Linked DNA regions of Drosophila melanogaster. The protein of the gene in region 2 purifies or fractionates together with the protein of the main gene of each other region. This does not show direct contact. Each region holds a gene or a part of one and is shown on either strand. Other genes may lie near its edges. The genes, in order: CG1532 and alphaTry.

The links.
Region 1: the proteins of alphaTry (region 2) and CG1532 purify together in Drosophila melanogaster (affinity purification with mass spectrometry, with the first as the bait; one large-scale study listed by BioGRID). This does not show direct contact.

The regions. Positions count from the first base shown.
Region 1 is NC_004354.4:21,026,443-21,030,368, forward strand, and holds the start of CG1532 (uncharacterized protein), read right to left. Parts: upstream 1,920-3,926; 5' UTR 1,834-1,919; coding exon 1,738-1,833; intron 1,511-1,737; coding exon 1,461-1,510; intron 1,403-1,460; coding exon 1,296-1,402; intron 580-1,295; coding exon 1-579. Other genes in the region: CG1529 (uncharacterized protein), read right to left, coding at 3,815-3,926.
Region 2 is NT_033778.4:11,343,716-11,347,059, forward strand, and holds alphaTry (alphaTrypsin), read right to left. Parts: upstream 1,405-3,344; 5' UTR 1,378-1,404; coding exon 607-1,377; 3' UTR 545-606; downstream 1-544. Other genes in the region: epsilonTry (epsilonTrypsin), read right to left, coding at 1,562-2,332; betaTry (betaTrypsin), read left to right, coding at 2,627-3,344.

The DNA.
Region 1 (3,926 bases), on a different chromosome or scaffold from region 2:
GATCCAGTCGCTTATCGCCATCGGACTCCACCTGAGATAGCTGGCCGAAGCCCTCCTCGTCGACAAAGCAGATCTCATGACCATCGGGGTCACCGAGAATTACCACCGTAACGGTGGCCTTTCCTGGCGTATCCAGGGTAATCAGAGGTGTTAGAATGGCCCCGCCAGCTGCTTTAACCGCTTCTTGGAGAGGTGGCTGCTGGGCCGCCGGAATGGCAAAGGCGATTCGTCCATAGGCCTTAGCTCTATTAATTGGCTCTGAGATCTGGGTGATCTCCAGTGAAGCCTGCTGTTCACCGTAACTCAAACGCACGCTTGCTTCGTTCTCCTCGAGAACTTTCAGTTGCAGCAAATCGTGCCAGTATTTGCGCGAGTTTTGAAGATTGCTCACATTAAGCTCCACCGATTGGACAGGATCAGAGCTGGCAGAGGCCTGATCGATCACATAGAACTTGTAGCCATCGGGCGAGGTCAGCAGACTACCGGCTTTTCCAGACACCTGTGTCACAGGATACGAGTGCTCGGCGGCGCGGGAAAGGATATCCTTGGAGTGTATGGTCACGCCCCCAAAATCATTGCCTGAATCGAAAAGAATAAGTATCGATTAACAGGATTTATAAGTGTTAAAATTAACTTGGGAATTAATACAAAGGGAATCATTAAGTAGTATATTTCAATTACTGTACTGTACTTTTTCAAACATCTTCAAACATTCAACTCACATACTTTCGTTTTTAGTTCATTTTGTGATAGACAGAAATCTTCATCGCGGTTTTAACTAGAATGACTGATAGATTTCGACCTACTTATAGATAACTATTTCCGTATTCATAAAGAAAAAGATTAATAACCTACTATCTTTACGTACTTAAGACAAGTCACTTATCGAATAGCTATTATTAGTGAAACACTTAATTATGAAGTTGTCGAAGATAGAATAACTCATTTGTACTTTAAGATAAGCCATCCCAATTTTACTAGTGTTAGATTAAATATTTTGGATTATAACTCGGTAATCATTTATAGGGTTGTACATTTTTTCAAATTTCCAGAAATGTGTACATATGACTGCTCAAAGCTTAAATATGCGATTTAGCCTACCATCACTGAAGTTTCAAACTTTTTCAACTCTCAATTCTTATTAAAAACGCTTTAATGCCTGATAAAATAAATAGGTATTTTAGGATGATATTACTTAGCCGCTGTAAGGGTTAAAACGTTCCCGCTTGTTAGCTTGCACTCAGGACTTTTAATCCTCATGTGAGCCTAACATTTTTATCCGGTATGTGTCTTACCCATTTCGTAGCTGCTCACTCCATAGTTATACGTGAGTTCGATGACGAAATGCGAACTTTCGGGTCCATAACCCACCATTGTTTTGCTCCACCGATTGTCATAGGGCCTGTGAAGGATTAACACTACCAGTTAGTCCTGTCGCAACACTCCGAAATAGCACTCACCCGTTGCAAGCTGCGTCGCATCCCTCCTTGAACTCCTCATGCCGCAGCACCTGTTGCCGTGCGAACGAGCGGGATGGCGATAGAAGGGAGCAAAAACGATGAGAGAAAAATGAAATTTTAACACAGTCATTATATGACATTATCGGGCATCTGGGCTTTTTAATTAGCAGCCGCGCGTCGTTGACACGTTGTCCAGATAAAACTACAGCCAGACACAACAGCCTGCGATAAGGAAGTCTGCCGATTTCTGGCGATACGCCCGCCACACCCAGCTTACCGTCATTCCCAAGATTTGCCGAAAGAAGAAGGCGTTTTTCGCCCGATCTCCGATTTTGAACACATAGTGCAGGGCGCGTCCCGATATGGCCGACATCTTTGTGTTTATCAGCTGGCGTTTATTCAGCAAGTGCTTTCCGATCGAATTTCGGCCTTGTTTATGTACATTCCGTTTCAGTGTGGCCGTGCGCAGAACAGCAAATATTCCCAGCGACGGGAGCTTTTGGAAGTATCGATATTTTTTAGTTTAGACTAAATAATAATAAATTTAAATACACTGTAAGTTTTAAATTATAAAGTGCGCTTTTTGCTGATTGACATCTACGAGGAAAAAACTAATGACTATCGCACCTTCAAAAAACGAATATCGGAATTTACCTTTTGTGACACAAAATTTTACACTTGACAAATACACTTTAAAAAAAGAGTATATCCAAAATGTTGTCACAAAAGTCCTTCCATGAAAAGCAATTATCGTCAACAGTTTTATTAGGCACTTAAAATATGGAGTAAGCGAGCATATAAAACGTATAAAATACGAAGTAAGCGAACATATAAAACTATTTAATACATTGTAGTAGCAAGGATAAAATGTCGTGAAAGTAAGATATTTAAAAATTTTCGCTAATGCGTCCTAGCCACATTTGCATGATAGTTCATTGGATATACACTACGCGTCATCAGATTAGCGCCCCCTGCATGGCTCCGTTCATTTTTATTTTCTGGTTTTGCCATTGCACGAAAATTCATCAATGTTGTTGTTTTTTGTTCACTGACATTCCCTCTCTCCTTGAGGATAAAAAAAAGGTCCTAAGGTAAGGACAACAAAATTTGTTATGCTGTTGAATTGAAAAGTTTGCTTTAAGAGGAACCCTGTTATCCCTGCAGGAAATATACAATATCATAGCATTCTATTAATGCTCATAATCATAAAATTTCAGAAAACCCGCCAGATGTCGCAACCCTATAATAAACTTTATTCAAAAGAACGAAACTTATGGAAAAAAAAAATAATGGTGGCAATAACCTTGTCTTTACCGCGGCAGATCGCAGGTCCATACTTCGAATACCTCCCAATTCCCACGACTTCTCCGCCAAAATTCGAGAAAAAGTGTTGAAAACCAGATCAAATCTTTGATTCAAATGGTGATTAAGACAGCTAAACATAAAACACGAAAAACTGAAAATAAAACCACCTCTCAATAAGTTGCGAAAAAAAGCGGGTCTGAGTTTTGCTCGAGCTCATTTGACTTGGTCTAAGGAGTGGCGTCGTATTTTCGGACAAGAAGAAATTTAATCTGGAGAAACCAGACGGCTTTTTTCATTACTATTATGATTTGCGTACATTTTGGATCGCTGTCACAGTCGGGTTATAGGTAAATTGCAGTTTTAAACACCAAAAATGAACGCAAAAGATTATAATTCAAAACTGCATTTCCCTACTTTAGAAACGTTTTTGGAAATTTAGAATGACATTTTCAAATTGACAGTGTCTCAATCCACACTGCACGTTTGGCAAAAACATGGATTCCATACTACTACCACCATACTACTACTATATAATAGATAACGTGTGGGTATGGTTGGCTAGGAAGGTATACGAGGGTGGTAAACAATATGCCACTCAAAACGAATCGTTCACCGGAATAAAACTCGATTGGTCTGCGATTACTTTGGATTACCTACAAAAAAAATATATGATTCCCTTTCCAGACGAATGTGTGAAGTCCATAATTTCCTTTAAAAATATTCTAATTTAAATATTTAAGTGTTAATCATCCCAATTTCTTTCGAAATGAATCGAACCAACTTAAATTATCTTAGGGGGCGTTATCCTGATAACCCAATTTTAATTAACCCATTTATGGATTTTTTTTTTACTTAAATAAAAATCTATAAACAAGAAACTGCATCCTATATAAATTTTACATTTATAGAATTGTTCAACGTTTGAATGAAAAGCAATTTTCAAAACTCTAGCTTTAACAGTTTTCTAAATATCTCAAATCAAAGATTTTTGCTCAAGGGGCGCTAACCTGATGTATGTAACCGGACGTATATGGATAGGTTATAGTTGATCATAAGGCTTTCGAAGGGATAGGTTTGTAGTCATGGAAATGCCCTTCCAGTCGCGCCGAGTCTTGCGATTCTGCGTCCTGCTCTATTTTGTGCTGCCATTCCGGATCGAGT
Region 2 (3,344 bases):
ACAATCCATTCCTACCATCTATTCACACCGTCCAGTATTTCACCAGTCACGGTTCACCAAAACGTTCAACTTCGAGTGTCCAAATCTGTGCAATCTTATCTATTCATTTTTTTCCGGCTAATTAATCTTGCCACAGCTGTCCAGACCATCACTCAACTTATCAATGGAAGATGAATTGGAACCCTAGCCACGCGATGCACTCGAAGTTGATTAGATTGGTCCTGGACAAATGTTTACCTTTAGCCACTCGAGCCCATTGAAATCGGTGAAAATCACAGAAGGTGCGTTGAATTATCTTACTTTATGTGAATACCCGTGAACCCTACAAAAGATAAGACCTGTGACGCGGGCAACCTCGAGAACTGTTTCCCTATTGTTAATACGAAAGGTGTAATAAGTGGTATGTGTAATACATTCAACTTCCACTACTTTATTCTTTAGGCTTAACCACTAACTTAAACTACATAGAAGTAAATACAAAAGCTTTCTGTATATTTTGTAAACCCTCTTATGTTAAAGTACCCAGACCAAATACAAATCATCTATGTTCTGAATGGCAAATATTTATTGAAGGCTTTTGACACATCCAACCTACTGGGTACCAGCTTAGATGCTGTTAGCAGTGCTCACCACCCAAGAGCGGAGGACAGCAACATCGGCATAGACACCGGGGTAGTTGGAGTAAGCGCATCCGTATCCCCAGGAGACAACACCGACGAGGACTCCGCCGGAGACCAGTGGGCCACCGGAGTCACCCTGGCAGGCATCCTTGCCGCTGGCAGCAGCGCAGATCATGGTGTTGCGGATCTGGCTACCGTATCCGTAGGTGGAGGAAGCACACTGGCTCTGGCTAACGATGTTCACGTTCACGTACTGCAGCTGGGAGGGGATGGAGCTGGATCCGGACGACTGGGTACCCCAACCGGAAACGGCGGCAGAGGCTCCGTTAGCTGGGTTGTAAGTGGCCAGGCTAATAGCCTTGATGCTTGAGCTGAAGCTCAGGGAAGAGCTCAGACGGATGACAGCGATGTCGTTGACCATGGTGTTAGCGTTGTATCCCTCGTGGTTCTTGAAAGAGGAAACCTTGGCGACGACGCCACCAGAGCTCCAGTAGGTGGATCCAGCACGGACCTGCAGGACTGAAGCGGACACGGACTGCAGACAGTGAGCGGCGGTCACAATGATGTTGGCAGAGTAGATGGATCCACCGCAGGAGTGGCTGCCACTGCGCTGCAGGGAGATCTGCCAGGGGAAGCTGCTGATGGTGGTAGCAGAGCCGCCGACAATGCGGCCATCCAACTGAGGCAGGAGTCCCTCAGGGACGGTGCCTCCCAGGGCGCAGACCACGGCGGACAAGAGGATCACGATCTTCAACATGATGGGCGTTGCTAACAAGTGCTGGCTTACATGCCGCCCGTCCAACCTTATATACAGCCCACGCTACAATTCTTATCTAGCCGCAATTTCGAGGGCTTTACACCTGCGACGCAATTGGGCCCAAATAGAGAAACAGATATCAATGCTGATTCAATTGCGATTTATTTCAAGTGTTTGTCTGGCTTTACACCTCCTCGGCGGTCCTCTCGATCCACTCGTGGAAGTGGGCAACGTCGGCGTAGACACCGGGATACCTCACATCACCGCATCCATAGCCCCAGGACACAACACCGACAAGGCGGTCTCCGGAGACAAGTGGGCCACCGGAGTCACCCTGGCAGGCATCCTTGTGTGGGGCGTAGGCGCAGAGCATGGTGTCCTTGATCTTCTTTCCGTATCCGAACTCATCCGAGCGGCAACGCGACACATCGATGATCTCCAGATCAACGGCCAGCAGATGATCGGGAATGGTGCTGCCACCGGACTCGGTGGTGCCCCAGCCGGAAACCACGGCGGTGGCGCCCTCACGAGGGTTGGAGTCGGCAATACGGATCTCGCGAATGCTGGAGCGGAAGCTCAGATCGGACTCGATGCGAATAATAGCAATGTCGTTGACCATGGTGCGGGAGTTGTAGCCCTCGTGGTTGCGGAAGGAGCGAACGGAGTGGACACTGCCGCCGGAGCGCCAGTAGGTGCTGCCCACACGAATCTTCAGGTCCTTGGCCTCAATCGACTGCAGGCAGTGAGCGGCGGTGATCACAATGTCGTGGGAGTAGATGGATCCACCGCAGAAGTGTGATCCATAGCGCTGCAAGGACACCTGGTAGGGATGGGCGTCGATGCTGGTCTCATAACCACCGACGATACGACCATCCAACTGGGGCAGCAGGCCATCGGGAATGGTGCCAGCCAAGGCGCAGGCCAAAACGGAAAGAAGTACCGCGAATTTCAACATTTTAATCGTTTGTATGCTGATTCGCGGATCAAAACCCCTTTTATACAGTCCCCGCGGCAAATATCTCCACTTGATTGACAGCTGCAACTTCAGCATAATTGTTGCGTCATTTTCACCATCGATATAGGCGGTGATATTTAGAAATAATCAGCTTATCACACGACGACCACTCCACATCGTTATCCACTTTAACCACGAGGAATCTCACTTGTCCATTGATTAAACGCCTCCCGAGATAGTGACCCCCGATATAAGCACACTTTTCGGTTCGAAGAGTATCCATTCAATCGCACCATGCTGAAGTTCCTGATCCTGTTGTCGGCTGTAGCCTGCGCCCTGGGAGGCACCATCCCCGAGGGTCTCCTGCCCCAGTTGGATGGCCGCATTGTCGGCGGTACTGCTACCACCATCAGCAGCTTCCCCTGGCAGATCTCCCTGCAGCGCAGTGGCAGCCACTCCTGCGGTGGATCCATCTACTCCGCCAGGGTGATCGTGACCGCCGCTCACTGCCTGCAGTCCGTGTCCGCCTCCTCCCTGCAGATCCGCGCCGGATCCAGCTACTGGAGCTCTGGTGGCGTCGTCGCCAAGGTTTCCTCTTTCAAGAACCACGAGGGTTACAACGCCAACACCATGGTCAACGACATCGCTGTGCTCCATCTGAGCTCCTCTCTGAGCTTCAGCTCCACCATCAAGGCCATCGGTCTGGCTAGCTCCAACCCCGCCAACGGTGCTGCTGCCTCCGTCTCCGGATGGGGTACCGAGTCCTCTGGCTCCAGCTCCATTCCCTCCCAGCTGCGTTATGTCAACGTGAACATCGTCAGCCAGAGCCGGTGCTCTTCTTCCTCCTATGGCTACGGAAACCAGATCAAGAGCTCCATGATCTGCGCTTTTGCCAGCGGCAAGGACTCGTGCCAGGGTGACTCCGGTGGCCCACTGGTCTCCGGCGGAGTCCTCGTCGGTGTTGTCTCCTGGGGATACGGATGTGCTGCCGCTAACTACCCCGGTGTCTATG